Linked DNA regions of Alligator mississippiensis. The protein of the gene in region 3 interacts with the protein of the main gene of each other region in a biochemical or structural test. Links are inferred from orthologs where the notes say so. Each region holds a gene or a part of one and is shown on either strand. Other genes may lie near its edges.

What was found.
Region 1: the proteins of guanine nucleotide-binding protein G(q) subunit alpha (region 3) and RIC8A form a complex in vitro, tested with the Homo sapiens proteins (2 studies listed by BioGRID). The link is inferred for Alligator mississippiensis from reciprocal best matches to the Homo sapiens genes GNAQ and RIC8A.
Region 2: the proteins of guanine nucleotide-binding protein G(q) subunit alpha (region 3) and GRK2 form a complex in vitro, tested with the Homo sapiens proteins (3 studies listed by BioGRID). The link is inferred for Alligator mississippiensis from reciprocal best matches to the Homo sapiens genes GNAQ and GRK2.
Region 4: the proteins of guanine nucleotide-binding protein G(q) subunit alpha (region 3) and RGS4 form a complex in vitro, tested with the Homo sapiens proteins (3 studies listed by BioGRID). The link is inferred for Alligator mississippiensis from reciprocal best matches to the Homo sapiens genes GNAQ and RGS4.

What each region holds. Positions count from the first base shown.
Region 1 is NC_081825.1:179,403,591-179,410,785, forward strand, and holds the start of RIC8A (synembryn-A), read left to right. Parts: upstream 1-4,194; 5' UTR 4,195-4,462; intron 4,463-6,686; exon of another isoform or gene 6,687-6,770; intron 6,771-6,969; 5' UTR 6,970-7,069; coding exon 7,070-7,153; intron 7,154-7,195. Other genes in the region: BET1L (BET1-like protein), read right to left, coding at 128-275.
Region 2 is NC_081825.1:176,049,685-176,056,835, reverse strand, and holds the start of GRK2 (beta-adrenergic receptor kinase 1), read right to left. Parts: upstream 3,018-7,151; 5' UTR 2,296-3,017; coding exon 2,183-2,295; intron 1-2,182. UniProt on the Homo sapiens protein: Specifically phosphorylates the agonist-occupied form of the beta-adrenergic and closely related receptors, probably inducing a desensitization of them. Key regulator of LPAR1 signaling.
Region 3 is NC_081826.1:199,600,257-199,607,130, reverse strand, and holds the start of guanine nucleotide-binding protein G(q) subunit alpha, read left to right. Parts: upstream 1-3,853; 5' UTR 3,854-3,870; coding exon 3,871-4,006; intron 4,007-6,874.
Region 4 is NC_081828.1:40,943,480-40,950,458, forward strand, and holds the start of RGS4 (regulator of G-protein signaling 4), read right to left. Parts: upstream 3,003-6,979; 5' UTR 2,879-3,002; coding exon 2,835-2,878; intron 1-2,834. UniProt on the Homo sapiens protein: Inhibits signal transduction by increasing the GTPase activity of G protein alpha subunits thereby driving them into their inactive GDP-bound form. Activity on G(z)-alpha is inhibited by phosphorylation of the G-protein.

The DNA.
Region 1 (7,195 bases), on a different chromosome or scaffold from region 3:
TCACTGCAGGACGGGTGGGGTGGCAGGGGGCCTGCAGCTCTTACGGAGCCAGTTATCAAAGGGACAGGTTGAAAACATCTCCCGCCTAATACCTGCCCCTCCAAGCGATACAAAAACAGAGACGTACTCCTAGCACCTGGGCAGCACTGGCAGGCATGAAAGGCACCTAGCGCCAGCCTCTGACCTGCCAGCAGCCCAAGCAAGCCCCGGCCAGGCAGGTGAGCGCGGTGGGAGGGCAGGCACACAGCACACGGGGTCGGAGGAAGAGGAGGCATCCCCCCATCCCCGGGCCGGGGCTGGCAAAGCAAAACCTCCCCCAACCAAACAGCCGCATGTGCGCCCCCCCACCGCCCCAGTCACGGGCAGCCCCAGGGACACCCCCAGCATGCAACCGCACGACCCACGCCCGAGCCCCCGGCAGGGATCCGAGCTGAGCGCCCCGCGGCCCCGCTCACCGCGCCCCCACTCCGCCATGGCCGCGGCCCGTCTCCGTGGCCGGCCCCGCCCCGGCTGCTGCGGGCGGAGCCACCGCCGCTCCTTGCCCCGCCCCCGCGCCGCCTGGAGAGAGCCCGGGGCACAGGGGCCGGAGACACTGGCCTGCGGCCGGCTTCCTCCCTCCCTCCCTCCGAGCGGCAGCAGCCGGGGTCTCCAGTTGCAGCAAGGGCAGATTAAGCTGTTAGGGGGAAATAAACCCCGCTCACGCTAGGAAGGGAGCACAGTAAAGGAGCAGGTCGCCTGGCAAGGAAACGCCGTGTATCTGCGTCCAGGAAGGCAGGGTTCCTCAAGCGCTCCCGGGCAAACCTGCTCTTCTGGTGCCCGCCCCGGCGTCGGGGCTTCAAGCCCACTTGATGCAAACGGCAGCCGCTCTCTAGCTCGCTCCTGCGGCCACACGGCTGAGGCGGGGCGAAAGTCGGCGGCATCTGAACCGCTTGGGCCCGCACCTAGGACACCTGCTAAAGGATTTTGGAAACATCTGCAGCCTCTGGTGAGGTGGAGGATGTTTGCGGGCTGTAGGGCCAGTATGGTTCTGGGCTGACTCCGGGATTTGGACTTGATTTGACTGGGAACATGAAACATTTCTTTAAAAAAACAGGTCTTCCAGAGGTGGTGGCCTCTCCATCCTTGGACGTTTTTAGGACCCAGCTAGACAAAGCCTTGGCTGGGAAGATGTAGTTGGGGATGGTCCTGCTTTGAGCAGGGGTTGGACTAGATGACCTCCTGAGGTCCCTTCCAGCCCACATTTCCTAAGACACCACTCATAAAAGCCCCTCGCCTCTCTGGCAGGTTTCCTGGGACATCAGGGCTGCAGCATCCCTCCAGCACTGCCAGACACAAAGGGCACGCTTGTCCAGCCGCAGTTTGACTTCCTTTTTTCTCCCCTCTATAGCAGTGACTCTCAGGCGGGGCCATGGCACCCGAGATCCTTTTTAACCGTGCCACACAATACGATGCACAGGGTAGACCCAGCGACTTCAAAGAGGAATACATAGCAGCAAGAGCCATCACACCTGCTGTGAGAGGCAGGAATTCTTGTGGGCGATTCTTTTATCGGGCCATCTGTGCGCGGTTGGGATAGACTAGTGCTTCTCAACCTTTTTAGGTTTGAGGCACCCCTCCATAGTCTCAAGGCAGTCTCCATAGGGACTGGAATTAGAATTATTGGACTGGACAAATTCTTGGGGAAAAAGGGCATCAGTATCTATTGAGCACAGGAGTTAAGGGTCCAGCCTCTGAATTCAAAGTTCCTGGACCTTAAATGCTAGAGGTTGCAAGTGATGGAAGAAAGTGAATAAAAACCAACCCTGGTCTTGTCTTGTTTACTCTCCCTTTCAGTATCCATTTTCTGCCGCTGTGTGACACAGGCCTATTTGACACATAGGGTTAACGTGCACTTTACCACAAAGCAATAGTTACTCTCCCCGCATAAGCCGCGGAACAGGGTGGGGCACCCAGGCCATGGCCTGACCAACATTTAGCACGTTAACTTAACTAGCTATGCAGTTAAAAAAATAGCTATACAGTTTTAACCGGAATGGCAATTGCGCATTTGTGGGTTATATAAATTGATGTGCTACAAGTTGGTCAGGCTGTGGCCCAGGTGGCCCACCTCGTTCTGCAGGCTATGCCCCCTGTTATTAGAGGGGGCAATTGGGTATATGTCAGTTGATTTCAGGGGACAACTAAAGACAAAACAGGACTGGGAGTGAGGTCAGAGGTTCAAAATGAGTACACCAAGGAGGGGGACACTGAGCAGAGTACACTGGACAGTGCCCACTGAATAAGTCCAGGGAGCTAGTGGACACTGCCAAGTGAAACTTTGTCTGGAGACATGAATGGACCAGGCACAGGAAAATGGCCCTGCAGTCCCCGGGGGGCCCCCAGCCAGAGCCTCTGTGTGACAGGCCTATTTGACACATGTTGGGAACATGGCCCTTATGCCCACAGATCAACAATTACCTCCCCTTAATAATAGAGGGAGCTATTGGGTATGCATCAGCTGAATTCATGGGACAAAAAAAAATACAAAACAAGGACAGGAGTGAAGGTCACAGGTTCAAAACGAGTGCACCAAGGGGGACAGGCTGAGCAGAGTATGCGGGACAGTGCCCACTGGCCCTCAAGTCCAAGGAGGCAGTGGACACTGCCCAGTGAAACTCTGCCCAGAGACATGAACAGACCAGGGACAGGAAAGTGGCCCCACAGTCCCCAGGGGCTGCCCAGCCAGAGTCTCTGTGTGATACAGGCCTATTTAACACCTATTGGGGACATGGGCCTTAGGTTCACATGTGTCAACTGATTACTTGAGAAAACAAAAGAAGCAGGGACAGAGTAAAGGTCATAGGTTCAAAACAAATGCACCAAGGGTAGACATCATGCAGAGCACACGGGACAGTGCCCACTGGTCCCCAGTCAAGTCCAAGGAGCCAGTGAACACCTCCCAGTGAAACTCTGCCTGGAGATGTGGATGGTCTCCCTGGCCAGAGCCTCTGTGTGATAAAGGATCCCCGGCCAAGATGGACCTATAGTCTGATACAGTCAATGGCAATTCTTATGTTCTTACAGGCTGGAGGCAGCCCATCAGGAAAGGCCAGCTCTTATTTTTCACTCATGTTTAGACTACAGAAAAAAAGTAGAGCAATTCTGTTGCAAAGAACTTATGCAGGCCATTCCAGGTCTGAATGCTTTTAACACCATGGATTCCTTTCCTGACATCTCTGGGTTTATTTTGTGAATCCCATTAGCACACTCAACAGGGACAACATTGTGTGGCACCCCTGAAAGGACCTCAAGGCATCCCTGGGTGCCATGGCATCTTGGTTGAAAATCATGGGTGTAAACACCCAAACTTCTGGCTATCCTAGGACCCTATCTCAGGCCTGTGGCCTTGCTGCGTTCTTTGCAGCAGCAGAACGGCTTGATTCTTTTTTTCTGTAGCAGAAACACGAGTGATAATGAAAAGCTGGCATTTTCCAAGGGTTGCCTTGAGTCTCATGAGGGTGCCTTGAGTCTGAAACAAGGTTGAGAACCACTATTGTAGGGATTCCTAAAAAATGAGGGTTGGAAAGGACCTCAAGAGGTCATTTAGTTCAGTGGTTCTCAACTTTTTTTTGTACCAGGACCCATTTGTAAACATTGATGGCCAGTCTGGATTCACTCCGGACCCGCTGCCCCCAGGCCCTAGCCCCTCAGAGTGTGAGGCAGTGGAGGCCCCAAGCAGCCCCTGGCAGGCTGGAGCTCTGCCAGCCTGCAAGGGAAAAACCCTGGTTTCCCATGTTTTTTTCCTATAAGGAAGAATCCATTTTTAAAGTTTCTTGATCCATTTTCCAAGTTGGTTTGTGCCCCTTTCATATATTCTTGTGACCCACGGGTTGAGGAATGCTGATCTAGTCCAGCCCCCTGCTCAGACCAGGACCAGCCCCAACTACATCATCCCAGCAAGTCTTTGTCCAGCTGAGTTTTAAAAACCTCCAAGGATGAAGAGTCTGCCACCTCTCTGGGTGACCTGTTCCAGTGTTTTATTATCCTCCTCAGGAGAAAGCTTTTCCTAATATCAAACCTGAACTTCCCTTGCTGCAACTTGAGCACATTGCTCCTTGTCCTGTCATCTGCCACCACTGAGACCAGCCCTCCCCTGGCAGGCAGCAGGATCCGCCCCTTGCATTTTGCACAGTGCTCATGTTTTTTTTATATTCCTCTTGCTCATAGTGCGGGGCGGGAAACAGCCTCAACCCCTGACAAGGCTCCTGATTGCTTGTATGGTTGGCAGGCTGGTGGGTGATCTCTGCCCTGTCCCACAACCCCAAGCCTCCAGGTAAAGCAGCTCTTCCCTTTGCCTGGGTCTCCACCCAGCTTCCAGCCACCCCTCCCTGCCTCCTCTGGCTGAGAGCTGGGGAGGGCTAGGGGCAGCAGCAGTGTCCAGGAAATGAAGCAGGAAACCTGAGCCAGCGCAGCTAAAGAGAAGGTAACTCGCTCATCTTTTCTCCCTCGGATGGCTCATGGCAGTCAGACATCTCTGTCCCCTTGGCCCCTTAAAATCCCAGCAGAGGTGGCCTTAAAATCCAGCAGTTTGTTGCAGCCTCTGCCACACTTCCATGTAGATTCTCTCTGCAGGGTCCCTGCTTGCCTGAAATCGTCTCCATTTTGTCCCTTTTTTCAAGCGATCAGCAAGGACTTGCTTCACAGGAAAATAGAAAGCCACATCTCTATAATTATTCACTAATGCTGTGATCCCACAAAGGCTTCCGCAGAGGAGCTTTGCCACCAGGAGTATTTTCAGTTCCTCTTAATGGGATTGCTCCCAGATGTAAAGCTAAGCACATGAGTGAATCTCAGTAGGATGCTGGTCAAAAGGAGGAGCAGGAAACCAAGCCTCCTCCTGTTTTCTTAGGGGACTAAAGGTGACAAATAGGTCTGTTTTCTTAGGGGTTTGAACCCTGAGGAAAGAATGGCAATAAAGAGGAGGAGGGGACCTTAAACAAGCAGAATAAAAATTGCAAAGATTGAGGTCAGTGGTTATTATAGTCCATCTCCTGCATTGTTATGTGATGCTGGACTGGGCAACATGCTGGAGAGTACTGTGTTAGGGATAAATCCTGCACTGGTCCTAAAGGAAGGAGCTGTCTGTTCCATCTTTAATGTCTATGCCGCTATGAAATCTCTCTTAGTTCATTGTGTGCATATGTGGACGTTGTATTCCTGTTTTTCTTCCCAAATAATTCTATATGGAGCAATGAGATGTCAGAGTGGGCGCATCTATAGGTGCACTTTAATGTGTAGTAGCCTATTTTACTGCGTATTAAAGCATCTCATAAAAACCATGCTAATATGCGAATGCGTTGTAAAAATAGGCTAGTGTGCTTTAAGCTTCGCTAAAAAAGCATGCACTTTCACTACTCCATATTAGGGTAGCCTAATGCTCATTTATTTAGGATCTCAAATTCAAGGTACCAAATTTAATGTGCGTCAGGAAAAGTGCATTAATGGACGTGTAGACATACTCAGTGTGCATTAAACTGACACTCTGACTTTAACTGTGATAACTTTGTAGCGATGGCACAAACCATATGGCAGAGGTTCTCAAACTGTCGTCTGCGGACCACCACTGGTCTGCAAGCTCCATTCAGGTGGTCCACAGATAGGTTGCAGAACAATCAAAAATATCTGTAGTTGGCCCTGCATTTGATTTATTTTTTCTGACGATGGAGATTAAGTGGTCCGCTGAGACCCTCAGCAATTTTCAAGTGGTCTGCGAAAAAAAAAGTTTGAGAACCGCTGCTTTGTGGTGTCTTAACCCGTGTCTACATTGCGCGTTGTGGCAATGTAGACACATTTGAGTTGGTTTTAATCTAGCTAGCTTGGAGAATGAGAGCAGTGAAGTCACTGGCACAGGTGTCAACCACTGATTACCCAAGGCTCTGGGTGGGTTTATATGGACCAAAATGACACTTGCGCTCTTGCAACATTGCTGCTGTCAGTACCTATGCTATCTAGATCAAAGCCAGTCTGGGTATTTCTGTGCATGTTGCAGTCAGTCATGACTTTCTGTGGCAGTGTAGATATAGATGTAGATGTTTGATTCTGTAGTAAGCAGCTCCCTTTGGAGTCTAGGATTGGGGCTTTGTGTCATTTTACACTACCCGTCTTCAGTACTATTGCAAAATTTGTCACACAGCTATAGAATCTTAAATCTTTGTGCTTTCACAAGTGTGTGGAATCATACTGTGATTTATGATGTGACCCCTTATTATTATTTAAAGTCACAGTTTCAGCACTGTAAGCCTATGTGGTGCTTTATAGACACTTTAAACTCATGCCTAGCCTTTAAACATAAATGTGTGTCTAGTGGTTTATAACAGATCACTTGGCTTTTGAGATGGTGTAAACCTATTTCCTCCTGTATCATGAAGACACACACTTGTGTAGTCTGTTCAGCATGTCCTCCAACTTCCCTAATTACATAGCCCTTTGCAGGCCCCAAATGCACCAGGCTGGGTTTCTTTTTGAAGAAACTGCTGAGGAACTCTTTCATGCCACCTTTAAAAGACTGCTCCACCTTAACCCAGTCGGGATGGAGCTTGTCTGTCTATGTTGCTCTCTTGTGAGCCCCTGTTATTCCCCAGGGATGTTTCTGTGTGTCTGTGTGTGTTGGGGGGGGGGGTGATTTCCTCTGTGCACTATGAGAAATCAGGACAGTCGGTGGTGGAGGAGGAGAAGGAGGGCTATTTCAGGGAGCTGCAGTTATCTGTTCTGTGTTAATCCTCAGGCTGGGGGTGAGGGAGGTTTCCTAAGTGATTTAGTGGGAGGGCATATATTAAACACTGAAAGGCAGAGAGAAGGAAGAGGATTAAAGGGAGGGGGAGAGGGAGAGAAAGAGGAAGCTTGTGGCTGGTTTTACTGGGGATGTTCATCTGCTTTGCTTTTTAGGTATAACAGAGTAAGCAATCGCACTTGTTTTTTTCTCCCCCCCAGCTGTCTGTGTGGCAGGGTCCCCCTGCATCTGTAATTATCCAGCAACATAGCAAAGCCCCTCCCCATCTCGCCTCACATCTGTATCTAAGCTGCTGGAGCAATGGAGCTCAGGACTATGGTAGCGACTGTGGAAAGCAGGGAGCAAGACACAGTCCTCAAGGTGCTGCAGATCTACAATCAGGAGGTGAGTGAGTATGGCAAGCTGCTGCTTGATGTTGCCTTTCCC
Region 2 (7,151 bases), on a different chromosome or scaffold from region 3:
CCTCACTGGGAGCCCCACATCTTGGTTTAGGGCCCCCATCCTCACACACCAGCTAAGCCCCCACTTCTCCCTCCATGCAGCCCTAACCTTCACTGTGCCTTCAGCCCAGTGCCCACAGCCATGTAAAGGCCAAACCACTTCCCCACCTGCAAAGGCCGAGCTCCACTGCACCCTGCCCCAGTGCCCTCTGTCCCCTAAGCCTAGACGCCCCCTGTGCAACGCCCCCATCAGGGCTGGCAAAGCCGACCCTGATCCTGCAATGATGGGGGGAGGGAGCAGTGTGGAAGGATCAGGTGTGTGAATCTACGGGGGGAAGAGACAACTCAGGGCAGGGGTTCGGCAGACCTGGACCTAGGAGACATCCTGTTCTGGGACATGGGGGGGTCAACACACCCAGCCTGAGTACCGAGACAGTGGGATTGTGAGGTGGGGGCACTCCAAACAAGTGATTACTTCCAGTAGGGAAAGATCTGAGGGAAAACTCCCCAGGCCAGCCTCCCTGCTGTGCTGACCAGGGGGCAGCTGGAGGCAGCAAGGCTGCCATCTCCCTCTGTGGAGCCTGGGGTCTATCCCCACCGGCAGTGTGGGCAGAGGGTATCGCACATGCATTTGGATGGACTACACTCATACCAAAATCACCCAGGGTGGTGTGACCTCTCAGCACCCCCTGGCCTGGTGCTGGCTTCCTGCTGTCTCCCACAAGTCATCACTAACCTAGCGTGCCCATGTGGTGGGGCCTGGGCTTCCTTCAACACCATCGTGCTATGGGCCCAGGGGGCACTTGGGACCTGGGGCCAACAAGGGGCCTGAGCTCTGAGATCCCCTCTCCCAGGGCCTGGCAATGCCTGTGGCTGTCAGGGGCAGCGTGGGGCAGAGATGCTTTTTAACAGGGATACTGGGGAAGGGCAGAGACTGGCAGGACCTGAATGTAAACTGTCTCCATAAAGCTGAGGGGTGGGTCTTGCTCGGGGGGTAGCGGGGTCTAGTCTAGCTAAACTCCCTGGAGACAAGAGCACTGAATCTGGATGACTTGGCCCCCTCCCTCCAAATTCTTACTCACCCCCGCAACCACCAATCCAGGCCTCCAGCTCCTTATCCATCCCTTCGTCCCACCCACCTGCACGCACTAGGCATAAGCCCATCTCAGACACACTCTGCACAGCTCTAGCCCCAATCTGTCCAGCATGGCTAGCACAGGAGGTATGTGTAGGGGAGACAGATGAGGGGCGGGGGGCAGGCAGCCCTAGAGCCCTTGGTTCAAGGCCTTTTCTCTCCTCCCTGCCAGATCCCTCACACCCCAGAACCAGCTGCATTTTCCTGGCTGGGCCATGACCACAGCAGCCTGGTGGTCCCATTGAAGTCCTCTGGGAGGAAGAAAGTGCCATGGGTGCTACATCTCCTGCCCTGGGCTGCACTACATGGACCCTTGACCATGTGCTTGATGGATGCACAGCACGGCAAGGCTGGGCCAGGCAGGGGCTGAGTCCAGACCCTGCGAAGGGTGGGGGATCAGAAGGTGTGAGAACATGCCAGGGTCTGTGTACCCCTAGGTCAAGACAGCGTCCCCTGTGCCTGCCCGCAGGTGCATGCTTGACAATCTCTAACGAACATCCCTGACTGTTACAAGGTGCCCGGGTTCACTAGTCCTGGATGCTAGGGCTGCTTCGGCAAGGAGAGCACAGCCCCGGTTGCTGCACGCTGACAGACATGAAGGGGAGGGGAACCTAGATTTGGGGTCTGAGGGGTGGGTTTGAAAGAAGTGGAGGGGGTATAATCACCACCCTCTCTCCCCTCTCCCTGGGTGGGGGATAAAGGAGGCAGGCACACAGAGGGACGCAGGAAAACAGAAGGACCTGGGCTTGGCGTGAGGGAGAAGAATCAGGAAGCAACAGCTTCGACATGACAGAAAGCACCAGCTTCCCCCCCACCCCCACTGCCCCGCCATGCCCAGTCACACACACTGCTCCCCTCCTAAAGCAATGCCACCCAGACCCCTCTGCCCACACTGGGCTGGCAGCTCTGCCTCCAGGGAGGCCCTGGGGGTGGGCATTTTGGAGGGGGAGTTGGAGGGCAAGGTGGTGGGTCCTTTGCAATACCCCACCGAACACTGACCTCCTCCCGGGGGAGGAGGGGATGTGGCTGGGCCTAGGTATCCAGCTGCCCCACACCTGCCTGGGCTCACCTGGGCTCAGGTAGGAGAATCTTCTTGCTGGCTCTGGCTGCCGGAGTGGACTTGCTCTTCTCCATGGCCATCAAGTAGCTCACATCGGCTAAGACAGCTTCCAGGTCGGCCATCTTGCCAGAAAAATTTTTTCCCTTCTCTTTCTTATTTAGAAAAAAAAAGCTTATTTACTGTATTTTATTCCCCCAGGCTTCAGCGGCAGAGGCAGCCCCCCGCTGCCCCCTTGATGCCAGCTGTGAAGGGGGAGGGAGGGCTTGGGGCAGGGGGAGGGAAGAAAAAGGGGGTACGTTCCCCCCAAGCCCGTTCACCAAGAGATCCACATGATGCCTGTGGAGAAAAGCAGCAAGCGAGCTCTTTCCCGTCTTCCTTATTTCTGATCAGCCCCAGCTCCTCTGCTGTTCACCGCCTCTTCCTCTCTAGGGCTGTGTGTGTGAGTGTGTATGCGCGCGTGTGTGTGTGCACACAAGGGAGGCGGATCTCCAGTGCCCTGAGACTGGGGTTTGGCCGGCTGTCTTCCCCTCGTTCTTGCTGACAACTGCTTCTGTTTTTCAGTGGAGTGTGTGCGGGTGTGAACTCGGGGGAAGCAGAGTGTGAAGGCTGAGTGTGTGTGGTGGGGAGAGGAAGGGGGGGGCCTGGGCCCGGAGATTAAAAGATGTGTTTGAGTCAGTGCAAGCGGGGGGAAATAAGAAGTTCCAAGGAATCTGTAGGGGCATTAAAAAAAGAAAAGGGGGAGAGAGCAAGGCGCTGAGGATAGGCTCCTGCACTCACACTCTTCCTCCTTGGCTGGCTGCAGGCTTGTGTGTTTCTCATGCAGACTCTTCCACACACCCCCCCCCCGCTCCCTGGCTGCAGCTTAAAGTCACAGTGCCTTGAAAACCTGGAAGTGAAGCTTTTTGGGAGGACAGAGAGCTTGAACGCTGCCCTCTGGAGGTCTCAGCTGATGTGTTCGTCCTTCTCTCCTGCACACACAAGGCCAGGTTCTCCTGTTCCTTTCCTCCGCCACACGCGCGCACACACACACACACACACACACGCGCGCGCTGTTGCTTGAAGTCTCACACATCCCCCCCCAAAATGTTGCTTAAAGCCTCTGACGATGGCGGTGCCAGCACAACAGCTGGCTGCATGTGTCACGTGTGGCCTGGTGGGCACCACTTACCTGGTTGCGTGAGTGCATCAGGTACACAAGTGCAGCATGTGGAGGGCACAGTAACAACTGCAGGTCCTCCCAGGGGCAATTGCTTTTGAAAGAGGAGCCACATGAAAACCTACCAAGCTGCAACCTGTGATCTCCTCTCTGCCATGCTGCCAGGACAGTGGAGGACTGGGATGGGGGGCAGGTCTGCATCTGAGCAGCGTGGGACCTGGTACACCCTGTGTCCCCCTTCCCTGAATATAGACTGGGAGCTGAGCCGAGATGCCTAGCTCAAACCATAAGTGTATAGGCCCGACGCAGGAATTCCTGGGCGAGGTTTGCTGGTCTGCACGATGCAGGAAGTCAGATTAGATTATTGCAGTGATCCTGCCTAACCTTCAAGTCTTTGCATCTCTAGCAAAGTCCTGCACCCCGCTGGAGTGCTCTAGTCCACAGGGATGAAACACATTCCTGGCCTGGTATGCACCTGAAACGAAAAGGCAGAGCCTGCCTCAGAACTACCAGTCTAAGGATGAGGGCCCTGCCAATCAGCTCCCCATGTGAAAGAAAAATCAGTTCTGGTCTTCCTATTGGCAAAGCATACCCGAGCTTTGTCTTTAAATGCATAGAGCACAGCTGGAGAGAGGAGTCCACCTATTGTTTGGACTCTGAGTATTCATACCAGCGTTTAGAGGCAAAAACAAGTAATTTCTGGGGCTGCTGTCCCGCTGCCCACCCCTACATATGCTACCGCTAGTGTTGTCCATTTGGAAAGGAAATCAAGTCAAATTCACTGCTGGGATAAAAAGCCCCACTCCCTCCCTTGCAAGAGGCTTAAAAATGGGAGTGAAACCAACCAGAATGATCCTATCATTGCCCAGACAAATTCCACAGGCAAGAGGCAAACAGCACACAAGCCATGAGAAGGATGGAAAATATTTCATTACTTAAGAGCAGTGATTCTCAACTAGGGTGCTGAGAGATCCTTTCAAGGGTGCTGGGGGTGCCACATACTGTTAGCGCTAGCAGGTATGTAAACACGATTCACAAGAAAAACCCAGAGATTTCAAATAGGAAGTCATAGTGTTAAAAATCTTTCTGCCCTGTTATGGCCTTTCTGAGTTCTTTGCAACAGAAGAATTGCCCTGTTATTTTTCTGTAGTAAAAATGAAGAGGTGGCATTTTCCAAGGGGTGCCTTGTGCTTAGTCAGGGGTGCCTCAGGGCTCTGAGTCTAAAAAGGTTGAGAACTACTGGCTTAGGGACAAGGATTTTTGTGGATGATATTTTTTACTGGACATCTTTCGTAAGCTTGTCTAAGTCTATCCCAACTATACAGTTGGTCCAATAAAAGATATCGCCCACAAAAATCCTTGCCTCTCGCATATTTCCTGGACAATCATGGCTACTACATCACTCCAACACTATTAAATGATGGAGGAAAGTGAACATTGCCATCTTATTGCTTACTATTTTTCTGCCAAAATGGTGCCGCTTCCATCTTCCAGGACCGTCAGCCACAAGGCTTCAAAATTCACAAGCTGGGCTGAGACAAAGTCCTGAGGCCATCTCAAAAACCATGGGTATTTAAAAAACAACTGGTTTATTTGCTTTCTGGTTTCCAAGCCTTTGCAGGCTTTCTTCTAGCCCACAAGGACGAGAAACTTACCTTTTTGTTAAAGTGAAAGCAGGGAATCTCCTACTGAATCACGACTGGGACCAGGGGCTCCCACGTATAGCACCCAACACTGTAAGGCTTGCAGAGTTGGCAATATTGACATATTTAACTTCACTGGTGCGATGTCCATGGGACTACCTAATCGCTGGAAGTTAAGCACGTGCCTAACTGGTTGCAGGAGGGATTAACCCTTTAGTGGGCCCTAGGCAAACAAATTCGTGGTCCCCTCCCTACTTAATACTGTATATTTATATTATAATTATTGAGTGAAAAAAGTAACATGTCAAATAAGCACAACCGGGCCACTTCTTCACTTAAGGCCCTAAGCATGTGCCTAGTTTGCCTATGTATTAATCCGGCCTTGGGGACATGTTTGCTAAGACATGCTCATGTGGCACATTATCCTTACAAGAATAAGCACTGTTGTCTTATCCTCAGGTCTGTACCTTGACCAAGGTCCCAGAGAAGCAGACCTGGGACATGGGTCTAATCAGAAAGGGTGGTTTGTTAATAGAAAACTGGCTTTTTAACCAAAGGCGGCTCTTCAAGGAGAACATCCGCTTCCCTTAGAAGATGGAGATTTTCCTCTTCAAATCCCAAACATCTGAAAACAAACAAAGCAGGGTTTGGGACTGGTCCAGCATTTGGTTTCCTCATGCCTACCTCCCATGATGTACTACAGCCAAAATATCCGGTGATACCCTGCCACCCCCTTCCAAAAGCAGAGGGGACTGTGGGAGATGTAGTCTGGCTGGGACACCCGGCTCAGAGAAGAGAATGGGCATGTGAGACCTCTCTGCTCCAATTCCTGCAGAAGCCAAGGCAGCATTTACAACTGGATGCTTCCTAAGAGTTAAAAAAACCCAAAACACTTTTTCCCTTTTTCTGACTGGCTCTGGCTCCTTGCTTTATGGGTTTTATTTAGGACCTTGGGAAAATTAACAATGGCCGAGAGCACAGAGGTGGCTGGCTGAGAGGGCAGAGGTATATTTCCTCCCTCCTCCAGCTGTGAATTTAAACCCAGCTGAGTATTGTCCAGCCCATTTGGATGTGTTCCCTAAGCCCTGTCACATAGGTGGCAGTGAGGACACATGGAGGTGTTCAGCCCACAATGTACTATGGCCCTTCAAGGTAGGGAGTGAACCCAGCTCTCTCAGAGCCGCAGCAGTTGCCTCCTGGCCCCTGCTGGGCCATCAGCTCCCATATCCCTGTGGTAAGAGAGGAGATGAGACTTGGGCACGTGTAGAGGCAGAAGTGCAGGTCCCTCCTGCTGGCGCTGACTGCTGCCAATCAAGAACCTCCAGAAAGGAGAAGAATATTAAGAAGTCTTAAAGGAAAAGCATTGCCAGAAGGGTGGCCTTGTTGGTATGTACTGTTCTGGGACTCAGGGGACCAAAGTTCAAGTCTCAGCACTGCCACTGACTCTCTAGGTGACTGTAGGCAAGTCACTTCATTTCACTGTGGCCCAAGAATACTCCTCCTTCCTTTCTGTTTAGACTGTGGGCTCCTTGGGGCAGGGCTCACCTTACATGAGGTCGTCCGTCCTGCACCCAATACAACATGGCCCTGATCTTGAAGTAGGGTAGTAGTGATGGAAGCATTACCGGAATACTACTCATAAAGCACGGCTCCAAAGAGTGCCAGCCAGAGTGTGCAGATAACTTCTGAGTTAACAAGATTTAAGCCTTAGGAAACAATTAAAAAGATAACACCTACAGCTCTCGGAAGTAAAAAAACCAACCCCCCCCTTTTTTTTTTTTAAATCTGTCTGGTGATACTGATCAAGACAAAGAATCAAGTGAGGTGGAATTAGGCAGGCTGGATCCTTTCCAGTGATGCAGTGCAAGTAGCAAGCTACTCCCAGCTGGGCAAACACAAGACCAAGCACGATGTTCCATGAAAAGCATTGTTTTCAGGTTAACTGGTGAAAGCTTCTCCTCCTTTCCATGCTTATATCCTAGACACTGTGGTTCTGACAACATGAGGACAATGCATGTGCAGGCCTCTAGCCCCCCAGTATAGAGGAATGAAGGGGAAAATCCACCTTCCTAGGAAAAATGATGAAAAGTCAATTGGATTCTTTCTGATTATCCAGCGTTTCATTCATGGAAGGTGGGACTGGTAAGAGCCTCTCTGGGTTTGCTTTTGATATAGAGCA
Region 3 (6,874 bases):
GATGTAAGTCTGTTCCTCTGGATCCATGAGAGTGTCTTTGTGAGTTGCTCTTTGTTGTGCAGATCAGGCAGGATTCCTTTCCTGGTGGTGTCAGATGGCAGATAGGCAGAGAGGTGTAGAAATCTACAGGCGGGCAGGGGGTGCAGTGCAGCCCAGCTGTGGGATGCACATGGCATTGCGGGGCCCCAAAAGCAGTGTCAGCAGCAGCAGGGTACAGAGCCCAGTGGGCAGCAGCAGCCCCCCTCCACCTGGCTGCCTGGGCTCCAACCCTCCCACGACCTGCTTTGGCTGGGACCCCATTCACCCCAGCCCCTGCCCCTGTCCCTTCCTCACTCCCTGCCTCACCGGGGGGGGGGGGGCCTCAATCTGCCATCCCCATGCCCCTTCCCCTTCACAGAGCAGACTGATATTTGCCTGCTGTGCTGGGCAGTGATCCACACCCTGAGCTGTGATCCTGGCTGCGTGTACACCCCTCTCCACCCTTGGAAAAGAAAAAGCAGGAAAACGGAAACGCCTCCACCCACTCCTGGATGTTTTGGGAACCCCAAAGCACGGGTGCAAGCACCTGCTTCTCCTTACCTGTCCATCACAAGGAATGCTGGCCTGGGCACTCACTCCCAGCCCCTGGCGTCAGAACCACAGCACTTGACAAAATTGTGAACCAGCCCCCTTTGGAATGGTTTAATTGTTATGTGTGTCCACACCATGCCTCACAACAATTGTAAGCAGTTTCCCATCTGCAACATTTTGGAATAGTTCAATTGTTCCATATCCACAGATGGGCAATAAGTATATTGTTCACAGATACATTGGCTAGTATAAAGAAATCTATAAGAGATATAAAGCCACTGGACAAAAGTCAACCATTATCCTGATTAGAGTTAAGAAGCAACTTCTCCCATAGATGTATTATTGCATAACTGACCATTATTATTCAGCTAAACCATCGGTTAATGGCTACTGGAAGAGAAAAAATACATGGACCTTTTTTCTGAGGTGGTGTGAAAATATTTATATTCCTACCTATTTATAAGAATATTTATATTCTTATAAACAAGGACTTTTGATCAGTTGACCTGTGATGTTGTAGATCCACCCATCATGTTACCACATACCTACCCGTATATGAGTTCTTACCCAAGATACATACTGGAGGGTAAGACTAAACTCTTAAAACCTTATACTGCCCTCAAATTACATGTTAATAATCCACAGGTATCAATGAGAGGGGTGCAAGCAGATAAAGTACAGTACAGGGCCACTAAACTTTGAAAACACAAAATTAAAAGTTATTTTCACATTCTTGGTATATAAGTAGTATTCAGAGTCTGGAGAGACTCTTACAGTCCCCTGTAGTGAACATATAAAATGGGATTATCAAAGTCTACAGAGTGCTGAGTCAGACTTCCTCCACTGCGGGAAGATTACTTCATTGCAGGGTCTTTGAGGGCTGAAGTTGCATGTGGTAGCTGTGCCCTCACTGTGCAGAGGACTTTCGATCAGTTGACTTGTGACGTTGCAGATCCACCCATCATGTTACCATGCACCTACTCGTCTTCCAAAGCTGCCACAAATTTTTTCAGTGGCCTGGGATTCATGCTTATGTTTCTTGGCTGCACTGTGCTATTGCCTTCTGTGCCTTTTATACCAAGAGTGCAGTTTTTAGCCTTTGAGGAAGTTGTTCTGGAAAGAAAAAGATTGTGTTATCACCGTTCACTTGATTACTGATTACCAATTTTATAAATGTGTATGTGTAAGTATAATGTCATGAATGACATACATAAGAATGACATACATGAATGTCATATAAATACCATGTTTACTGCAAACTAATGTCTATAAGCTATATGTTATTGCTAAAGTAATTATTAACACATACATACATCAGGGTCATAAATCACACACACAGATCTTTTTTTTAATCTCAACATCCATGTCAGTTTAAAGAAATAGAGCCTTTTACAAAAAATTTGAATGAAAAAATAGCATTATAGAATTTAACCTAAAAAAAAAAAATTACACTTTTTGAGTTTAATGATGCTTGATTTCAGAAAGAAAGAAGCATGCTTATAAAAACAACCAGTAAGATGCAGTAACTGGTTTTAAATAGTATGACATACATTTTGGAGCAAATTAATACATTTTTTAAATTATGAAGTAAGAAGAATTATTTTCGCACTCTAAAAGGTGCTGTATTGATCAATACATTTTAACCTGCAAGGTCACAGCTAGTCTAATGACTTGTGGCAAGCACCATTTAATCCATACTTTCAGTAGCAGCAGTGATCTGTTAAAGCACAACATCATTTTCAATAGTTATGTCAACAGGTGCTGGAAAGAGCATCATGTGCATCAGATTGGTGGTGGGAGAGCTATGCATACATTTAACTGCCTAGCCCCTTTATAAACTAGTGTCCCTTCAAATTTTCTCAGCCATGGTTAATTTAAAATGGCGGTGGGAAAGGGAAGAATGTGGAAAACTTTTAAAGACTAATGAAACCTATGCCCCACATCTTTTTCACACATGTTCAGTCATATGGCATTGCTCTGGAGTGGCAATGTAATCCTACACAGTATAAACGCATGAAGTGTTGACCTGGGGAAGTAAATCACACACCTGGTAGCTTTTATCCCCCTACTGCAGGGATAAAACATATATCAATTTGTGTAAATGGTAGCATATCAGTAAGAGTAGTATCTTGCTGCTTTTCTTTTTTGCTCTGACGGATGTGAAAGGTCTTTGCTTGTCTTCTTGTGTATATTAAGCCCCGAAGATCTCACTGGCACGGCAAGTGACAACTGGTGCCCGGGAAACTTTTATCCCCAATGTTTTTAATTTCCATCTGAAGACATAGAGAGGATTGGTTTGTTTTTGTTGTGTTTTTTGGCCTTCCCTTTTCCCCTCCAGTGAATTGTTGCAATGCTACCAAACGATCTCGTCCAAGAAGAGAAGGGAGGGCTATAACAAAGTGCCATGTTACAAGCTGCACAGAGGCAGACAAAAGCAGATGTGGGGGGGGGGGGGGGGAGAAAAAGAAAAACAAAGAAAAAACACCCCCAACCCCAAAACATGAGGGATTAAAAAAATAAAATAAAAAATCCTGCCCTACAGGATAAATGTGGAAGACAATGTTCCTTGCGGCCATTTGGGGTGGGGGAGAAAAATACACTTGCTCCTCGCTGTGTCCTTGCTCTTGGGGGGGTGCACATCCCGGGCAGGGGGATGGGGGGTGATGTTCCCAAGGTTTGCATTTGCGGAGGGAGCCGTGAGGTGGGCTGGGGAGAGAGCGAGGGAGACGGGCCGCCATATTTCTGCCTTTACCACGCCCGGAGAGGCGAGCCATTGACAAGTCGGGCTGCTGGATACATATTGTGCCTCTGCCTTCCCCCTCCGCTTGTAGTAAGGGAGAGGCAGGGACAAGGGGCGACAGCTCCGTCCGCCGCGGGAAGTAAAGCCCATTGGCAAGAAGATCCCCCGGCCCAGCCCAGCCCGCCCTGGCGCTCTCCACCGCCGCGGGGCAGAGCGGGGCCGGCAGCCGCGGCTATTAGCCGGGGGCTGGGGCGGGAGACGGGGGAGGAGGAGGCGGAGTAGGAGGCAAGCGGCGCCGGGGGTGGGGGTTGCGCGGGCCGGCGAGGAGCCGCCCGGTGGCTCTTTCCTCGGTGCCTGGCAGGGAGCGGAGGAGGAGTTGGCTCCGGCAGAGGCGTGGGGGTAGGGGCCGGTGCCTGCGCCTGCAGCCGGGCGGTGCGGTGCAGGGCGGTGCGGGCCGGGCCGGGCGTGTCCCCCGCGGCGCGGCGCTGCGCTGCGCGGCGCGGCCGGGAGCTCCGGGGGGCGGCGGGGGTGGGCGCTGCGCCGGAGCCCAGCCGGGAAGAATGACTCTGGAGTCCATCATGGCGTGCTGCCTGAGCGAGGAAGCCAAGGAAGCCCGGCGGATCAACGACGAGATCGAGCGGCAGCTGCGGCGGGACAAGCGCGACGCGCGCCGGGAGCTCAAGCTGCTGCTGCTGGGTGAGTGTGGGGCGCCCCGGGGAGCCCGCCCGGCCTCGGCCACGGCCCCGGCCCCGGCCGCTCCCCGCCACGCGCGCTTGCACACGCAGCTGTGGACATGCGTGTGCACATACACGCCCATACGCGTGAGCAGTTGTGCACTCGTCTGCCAGTTACACACACACACGCAGCAGTGCACATGCATGTGCAGGAACACAGCACGGAGGTGGACACACTTGTGCAGAAACATGCATGTGCACCCATCTGCCAGAATGACATGCATACACACAGGCAGACATGTACACACATATGCCAATGCAGATATACACGGGCAGCTGTGTACACGCACCCATCTGCCAGTATTACACACATGCATACACACACCCATGGGCAGCTGTGTACACGCATGTGCACCCATCTGCCAGATCTTGCATGCACATGCATACCCCCCCACACACACACAGGCGGCTGTGTACATGCATGCACACCCATCTGCCACTGCTCTTGCATGCATGGTTGGCTCCAGCTGTGTCTGGCTGCAGGGCTGGAGAGGAAACTAGAGGGGAATCAGCTCCCTCACAGCCCTGTGGGTGGATGGAGGAGACCATTCCAGTTCCACGCTCCCTGCCTTCTTCTAATGGGCACTTGCCACCAGCGTTGTGATGCTGATCAGGGCAACTAGGCGGGTGGGGGTGGGGGTGGGGAAGAGACACAGGGTGGTATGTGTGCAGGGGGTGAAGGGTGGGTGTTGCATTGTCTCCCTCAGCACTGCGACTACAGATGTGGCTGAGGCAATAATCACCTCTGGTTTCAGTTGGTGGGGAGGCTAGCTGTGGCCTTCCAAAATGGAGAGAGGGGCTGAGGGGGTGGAAAGGGATAAGGGAAGAGACTGATGCTTGTTTGCCACAGGCATGAAGAAGCAATGGCAAGGCGGCAGCTAAGTGAAAGGGCTGGAGGGGGGAAGCTGCTTTGCAGATTGATGGTGACAGGCGTTAATGTCTGTACTGTTCTGGGAGCCCTGGCGAAGGGGGCTGCCTGGCTGCATGTTGGAGCTATGATTTTTATTTAACGAGGTAAACGGAGATACATGGGATAGGCTTAGTTTATGGTCTATATCTGTATCTCTTTATACACATATTTATACACACACACATATATATACAGTGTGTGTGTACACATACATACACGCAAAACCTGAGCTGCACCCTGAAACTGACTTGTAGCCTACAAGCATGTCTGAGACTGACAGGTTCTTTAATACCTTTGGAATCCACCCATCGGTTAGGAAATGTCATTTACAGCATACAGCGGCCTTTCTTTTTAATCTCGGCAGAAGCTAATGCCATTTCAAGTAATTCTTTCTTAGAAATGTGGCTTATGTGCTCAAATAAGCCTCTTGAGTGAAAAGAAAAGGCTCCATGTCCAGACTATTGTAATAACGCATAGCCACTGTGGTAAGGGAGCTTTGTGCCTTGGACTAACAGGCCCTGAAAAATGTCTGCACCACTGTCTGGTGTTTGTGTGTCTGAATGTGTGTTGGGGAGAGCAGGGGGTGTATTGTGAAATCACCTCTCACATTCACAAGACGGGGACTATCCATTTTATTCAAAACATTCTGTCTTGTACTATGCGTAAAGGTGGTAGTTGATGCTGGGGAGTAAATTGTCTTTCAAATGAGCTAAAGGTGAGTCAAAGTGCAAATTAATTGAAATGACTGTTTATGAATCCATTCTTTCCCCTGGTGTTATTTTAATAAGATGATATTATTAAATCATATTGGTCTTAGATTTAGATTAAGGTATTGGGGTTTTAATGGGTGTGGAGAAATAGCAGGAGGAGACAGAGGTTGACATTAACATTACAATTACTTTGGTTTTGGTAGTGTAAGAGTGGCATTGTATGCGTAATGGTCCAGACAATAATGTGAGTCAATAATGTATATAGTTGGTCCAATAAAAGATATCACCCTAAGAAATCCTTGCCTCCCCCTTTGGTTTTGGTTTAATTTTGCATTTTCAGGTTTGAAGTAGAGAATAACATAACCTGCATGTGCTTTAATGGATATTTACTAAAATGTTTTATACATTTTATTCAAGAAGAATTTGACTGGTGGTACAGTAGTTCTCAGTTGTTTCTGCATTTCCTAGGTTTTCCTTCAATAATGCTTGCGGGTTTCTCCCAAGGTTTTGGAGAAGTAAAAAATTTGTGGAAGGATATAACTGTGTTCTCTCAAAAGTAAGGACAATTGAAAAGTACAAAATATATAGTTTAAAAGATTTAAGCTCCATTCTACAGTCTATGATGGATGAATTTAACTTAATATACAAGTAGTCTCAGTGATTTGTAAGATTTGCCTGCTGGTAAAATTAAGTGCATGTGACTGATAGCATGATCTGGGCCAAATTTTGACACTGCTTAAGCCAAATTAAAGGGGTCAGATTTAAAACTAGAACCAATAAGGGGCTGTTATTTTTATAGATTGGAAGAAAATACAGAGTTTATCCGTATTAGGGATTCTTGCACTGTTGTTTCAATGCTAGCGTAGACCTTCTGTTTTAGTATGCTTCATTAGGGCAAACTGAGAAAATTGCAGTAGTGCAACTCTTTTTTATAAAGAGTGATGCATCTATATTGGGTGTCCGTGCCAGTGTAGCAAGATCAGTAGAGAAGTCCCTGATGCATAGATGCCTTAATTGTTTTTAAATAAAATTTTATTAAAAGGAAACTTGCATCTTTAAGTCATACACATGACTGAAAATGGGGGTGGTGAGGTGGGGTATGTGTATTGTTGGGCTTCATACCTGAAAATGGTATATGAATTGTTGGATTTAACACCTAGAGCTCTTAATCCTGAAAAAGTGCTCCATACAGGCAGTCCACCACAGAAGC
Region 4 (6,979 bases), on a different chromosome or scaffold from region 3:
CCAGTCCTATGTTCTATAGTCTAGTACAGACCCTAATTGTAAGGCCATCACTGATCTTTGTGTAGTGAATTCAGGAATAACAGGGGGTATTGGATTCTATTCTGCCTCCTGCATCATTGAGATAATCATTAGCTAACTGCAGGATATCTGAGCTGAATATCTGCAATTACCATTGGTTTTGGCAGCTCAAAATGGGTCTGCATTTAGCTTCTTACTACTAACATTGATGTGCATAGCAAAATAAACAGACCCAGCTTTGAGTTCACAGCCCTGGCAGTTAGTGATGATTCAGTTTATGTACCAAAAAAAAAAAAAAAATAGATCTGAGAGTCTCTCAGCAAATAAATACACTGTCATGTTCACATTCTGACTCTGAGCACACTTGAGTGGAAATAAAACAGGAAAATTGTGTTAGCAAGACCAACCTAATAACAGGCAGAGTAAAGTTGGGAACAGTAAATGGATTCCTTGCTTTAAGTGATTCCATTCCCACTGCTCAGTGTGCAGTTCTGCAATGAGGTACCAATATTTTCATTCAATTCATGGTCCCCAAGAGAGATTGTGTGCGTCTCCCACTTGCTTAATGAGCTGCCATTCATTAGTGCCACATATTATTGCTGCCTCTGTTTGAGTCTGAGAAAAGAAGTCCTCATGATGGGGCATTAATACCATCAGAAAACTCTTTGGTCCTTGAACCCATTAAAAAATGCATCATGAAACAACACAGGACTGAGCTATGGCAAGGTATTGGGATGTATGTGCCTCTCTATCCCAGGAAGAAACTGCCTTATGCACTTCCTTAGCACAAAGAGGGACTGCCTGTCCAGTTGACTGTGTTCTCTGCCCTACTATGTCTTATATACCCAGCTAGGGCCATGATCCAGTCAACAGTCAGTGTGCTAAGCTGCACTGCAGAGAACACCTCCTAAAGGTGCCAAGTTCCAGATGCAACATTGCATATCAATTATTTAATGAGCCAATATGCATATATGCCAATTATTGCATATTGACATATGCCTCTGTTTAAAAGCTGTGCAGACTTCGTGCTGGCATAGCGACAGCAAGATAAAAGAAAAGAAAAAAGTTGCATATCTTTACACTCAGTCTCCTGTAATCAGAGTTAAGGTTGTTTGCCTAGCATCAGAGTTATGCTGTGCCTAGCATGTGTGGATTTCTTTAAATCATCGAAGCCAGAGAGAAGAAGGTGGCAAATTGTCAGGGCTTGCTTGGCCCAGAGGTACGGTTGGGTGGGCAGAGAGGCCAGATTTGCTCTGGAAGAACTTGTACAAGAAGATGTAACAAGACATGGGCAGGACCTAGCAGTGTGAGTCTGAAGAGAAGGCCTTTGGGCACAGCCCCAGAGAGCAGTACAAGTTTGAAACCAGTGGGGTACAAGAGATGTTTAGGTTTAAAGTGAATTTCCTTCTAGAAGCTATTAAAGTTAAAGTGCTTTGTCCTTTCTATAGCTCTGAAAACCATTTATAGATTTCAGTGACAGGGACAGAACTCTGCATTATGTTAAGATGACCCAAGGACAGATTTAGAGAGGCCATCACTCTGGGATGTTCTATAGGACTTCTCCATAAGGATGAGATGAGGCGTCTCTTTCTCCTTGCCATATCCCAGCTTTGTTCAAGCTCTGAGACACACCGTCCAGAAGGATTTGCTTATGGCCAGGGTGGATTGATTGTCACTCTGGAGACAGATTCCTGCATCCTATAGCAGTGAAGAGGACTAAAGAGACATCCCCTTTCTTCCACCTGCAAAATCTGCCTGCTTAGTTGACCCTCTTTTTTTTGTCCCACTCTCAGTCAGAATGAGAAACTGAGGCAACTCACTGCAGAAAAGAATCCAGACTCTCAGACAGTAATGTCCCAAAGTAATTTAGAATCCAGCAAACCTGGCCAAAGCTTTCGAGGAATTAGAGGGAAATGGGGAAGGGAGGGAGTTGATTTCTGAACCATATTTTTGGCTGATTTACAAGGCATTTGTTCTATGCCCTGGAAGTAGGGAGTGATGCATATTGACAGCTACCTGCCCTACCATAAGGCATTACTTCACGCGCACCAAATGGCTAATGTTTAACTAACAGGTTTGGTAAAACAAGCCTGTTAGAATCCTCTCCCCAAGGGAAGGTCTGAAAAACAGAGACAGCCTCTGGCCGCAAAACTGTGAACCTGCTCTTTCATTTCTTTCCATGCCTCCTGTTCCAGGTCACAGCCATCCCCTCATCTTCAGTTTTACATAATACTGCACCTTACTGCATTATGAAGCCCTTGTCCCCCTAGCACCCATCAAAACAACCATCTGGTTTCTGCTTTTGCCAGCTGTTTAATTTTCTTGTTATATGCCTTCCTTTATGATTATAAACCAGACCTATTTTGCTAGATGCATAAAGTAGTTTGACATTTATTTCAGGAATTATGCTACACATCAAACAAATATCATTAAAATACCATGCACATAGATTGTCATTCCTGAATTTCAATATGAAAACAGATCTCTCTTCTGCTATACAGGGTGAGGCTGACACAACCCTGCAGTAACATATAATAAAGGAGAGCAAAAATGCATAAATGCACAGAGGCAATTTATGCTGATGGCTAGAGCTAGTCCAGAATTCACAATAGTTGGCAAAGAACCATGATGCAATCCAATTCTAGCCTAAAAAGAAATCCTTAAACAATCAATTATATATCATCTTGGAGAAAAAACAGATTCAAATTTGATTATTTCTGATTGAAACACTTGTAAAATACCGTTTAGATACAGTCTCGAATACATCAACACGACTATAAACTTAAAAAATAAAAATGCTCAGTAATAGACTCTACCTTTTTAAGCAAGTGGCCGGCAATGCAGCAAGTCCCTTGCACATTTTGCTATTGGAGTTCTTGTCCCAATTCCAGAAAAGAGTACAAGAGGAGGCTGAGGCTGTGTCCGGGTTTTTACCTGCTGCGCTATTTGCTTAGAATTCTCAGTGCTTCTGTTTTCTAAGCCTGCTGGCTCCAGCATGGGTCTGTTTTATAGTCTAGACCAAAGAGTCCAGCATCATTTTTCCAGCCAGTCAGAAATCAGCACAGCAGCAGCAGCCACCCCCTCCTTGCCTACACAACAGGAAAAGAGGAAGAGACTGACGTATGAATCAGGACAAAAAAGATACAATGAAAAAGAAAACCTTACCAGAAATGACAGATCACAGTTGACATGCAGATTTGGAATCTCTGGATAGAGTGGAAAAAAAATATTGTGAGTTTCCTGCCTTGCATAAGATGGGCTGTTTCTTTCAATCTATTAGGGAAAGGGGAAGGGAGGATTGGGAAAAGGTGACCGAGAAAAGGGAGAGTAAATTTGTGAGTTACTTAATTTCATTTTCCCCTTACATTTAAGATAAATCTAAACAGTGGGCAACATCTTTGAGTTAGATGACTGAATAAATGTCTTCTGTCCCCAGAGAATCAGCATAGACAGTAACTTGCAAAAATTAGAGGCCCAGGGGAAATAAAGAAATACATTACATAGGCCACGGCTACATAGGTGGCAGTGCGCAGTAACCAGCATTACTATGCAATACCGTCCCTGCACTTTTAAACTTTTTTTTTTACACTATGGTGCAGTAGCAATGAGCTTGTTACTACTTTGCCATACCATTGCCATCATGGTTCATGCCTGGCAACACTATGGTGCAGTGGTAACGAGCTACTGTGCCATAGCTCGTTGCTACTGTGCCATAGCATCTCATGTAGACACCCCCATAGAGCAGTGGGAGCCAACCTTTTTGGCAGGCATGCCAAAAATTAGACCCTCATTGTTCCTGAGGCATTGGACTGGTGCTTTCCTTTACCTGATCTGCTGCTCTGCTTTCTGCTCCCTGCCCAGTGCTCCCTGAACAAGCTGCTGTTTGCTTCCCACTCTATCTGCCACTGTGCTGCCTGTTCCCTGCCTGCCAGCCTTCACATATCACACACACAGGCTGTTCGTATCACTTGTAGCACTCATACCACAAGTTGGCCACCCCTGCCCTAGAGAATATGAGGTGTTTCTTGAGTAAAATGGGATGAGAGTCTATGGGAAGACTGAAAAAACAAACCCCACGTGCCATGCCAGTACTGAGTACAGACCTTGCAAGGAAATGCTGCATCCATGAAGGTATATTCAAATGTATGTGCTCACACCTGAAAGCAAAAATGTTTGTGTATATTTATGCAAGAAAGGGAAGATAACGTCATGGCTACTGTTTCAAGTATGTGCAGGATTGAAATAATTCTTCATTTTCATGTTGAGTAGGCAGTATTCATAAATCACTGACAGGGTAACAAAGAAGCCAAGGCTATCTAAGGAAGGAAGCCTGTCTAAGCCCTTTTCTTTTAATACGAACAAAGGCATGAGATGAGATAGAGAAATATAATCATTAAAAAAATAATACTGAGCTCACATTAAGTGGTTTTGGGGGCAAAAATGGACTTGATCTGGACCAGTAGGTGAATCCTAGGATGGTATTATAGGACTGCAATGATTTAATTCAACAGGGGCCCATGAAAGAAATAAGTTTGAAGGAAATAGAATTTCTTAACACCAGTTAAGACCCTTTCAAGGGTGCTGAAACATGCACCAGTTCAACCTGGAGGCACTGTTTCTCCAAGCTGCTGTGCTACTGCTGCCTTCAGATGACATTGCCTTAGACACTTGTTTCTGGGAGAAGCTGAACCAAGAAGAACTATAGAGCACCCTTCTTGGATGGCAGCACCTGGGGCATGTGTCAGCAGCAGTAGCTCCAGCTCCAGCATGGGGCACATGGCAGTGGCAACTCTGGCTCTCACCCAGGGAACATGGCAGCAGTGGCAGCGGCTCTTCCAGCATGGGGCAGCAGTGGGCCAAACTCCAAAACACTGAATACAGGGAAGATGCATTTAGGTTACCATTGTGTTAGCTCTAGTAGCCACTTGTTAAAGACATTTAGGTGCCTGAAGATGCAGATAGGTGTCTGCTGGGATTTTCTGAAATGCCTGAGGTGTTGCAGCCATTTGAGTGGCACTGAGGAGACCTGAACAAAGCAGAATGGGAAAGGCAAGGAGAAAATGCCTAACTGGCTGAGCTGATGGGGCCTGGAGGACGGGATACTGCACCTTAAAGTAAAGTTGAAACTGAACTCAGCTCCTTTCTCTTCAGAGCAGGGTTATAGAAAAATAGTGGCATAGAGGTTCCCCTCCCCTGGCAGAGCCCTCCAGAACACTAGCCTGCTTATCTCCAGGGCCCACCTCGAGAATGAGCCTAGTTCAATACATTCTTCCTTTGGCATATTTGCTCACCCTGGCTTTGGTGTGAGCCATGGCTTAGCTGAGAGTATGCTCAAAAGCATACACTCAAGAAGAGGGCAGAGAACGCGCCTCAGGGATGTCCTCAAAGCCAACTTAAAAAAATGCAACATTAATATCAACTCAGGGGAGACTATCGCCCAGGACCGCCCCAAATGGAGAATGAGTCTACTCCAGGGATCTCAGTACTTTGAAACCTCATGACAACAACAGGAGATGGAAAAGCGGGAGTGGCAGAAACAGCGTGTGATGGACCAAATCAAAAATACAGCACCACCCACCCCACACGGAAACACCTGTCTGAGTTACAGTAGAGTCTGTCCATCCCAGATAGGCCTCATCAGCCATCTCTGGACACACAGATAAGACAATCATGGAAAACAATCATCCTCGGCTGTGAGGGACTGCCAAAGAAGAAGGCTGAGAGTGGGGGTTGATTATGTCTTGTGTAATGGCTGTCTACTGGGGTGTGCAAAGTGGGCCCTATTCGATTCGGATTCGGCCCAAATCAGGGACAGTGGTTAGATTGGTTGATTTGGGTCATTGTCCCTGATTCAATTCGGCCAAATCCAAATCTGAAGATTCGATGCTGATTCAGAGAATCAGTGATTTGGCCATAGACACAGCTTTAAAAGTTTTTTCTACTTATCTCAAGGTACCAGCGTGGCTTGTGAATGCTGCAGTGCTGAGGTGGATGGAGCATCCCACAGGAGCTTGTTGTGGGGGGCTCTCCACATGCTCGGCGGTGAACCTGGAAGAGGACTGGAATTACTTCCAGTCTACTTCTGGGTCCGCTGGGGAGCATGCTGGGGGCCCCCTCCTCCGTGTTCCCCTGGCTCAGTGATTGGCTGCAGGGGGACCCCGGGTGCCCCCCCAGACCCAGGAGGCACCAGTCACCGAGCTGGAGAGGCCCCCCGCACTCTCCCCAGCAGACCCAGAAGTGTACTGGAAGTGCTTCTGATCCACTTCTGGGTCTGCTGCCGTGCGTGCTGGGGAGCACCCCGCACTTCTGTGGGACGCTCCATGCACCCCAGCATCACGGTGTTCATGAGCTCCTGCTACCTAGAGGTGTGTAGAAAAAACATTTAAAACTGTCTCTATATCTGAATCTCCGAACCTCTCCGAATCAATTTGGAGGGTTCCAATTCAATTCAGAGAGATTAAAGGGTCCTCTGATTTGATTCAGATTCAGAGATTCAGCCACCGAACTGGGCTGAATCTCCACCGAATAGAATCAGGGACTGAAGCTTCACACAGCCCTACTGTTTACTCATAATTCCCATGAATCTCCTTGGGAACAGAAAGCACGCAATAAGGTAACCAGGGGGACATGTAATAGTCCCAAGAACTACGCCCGCTTGATAAGCTGTTTGGCATTATTTGGTTGTCTGAGATTAGTAGAGATAAAAATAAACAGATGTTGGACAAGCAGAGAGCTATGTGAGACCCATCTTGATTTCCTAAATCTCAGTTTCTGTTTAAACGTACCTCAGAGCAGCTTTTGCCCTTGGGTCAGTGTTTATGTTCTTGACCTTTAGTGGCTCCATCTTTGACTGTGGATGTCTAAGACTGAACAAATGACCTATCAATGTCACACTGGCACTGGTGATACCCTGACCTGGGGGAGATTTTCCAGGCTGTCTTGTTTGTGAGGTCTTGTCAAG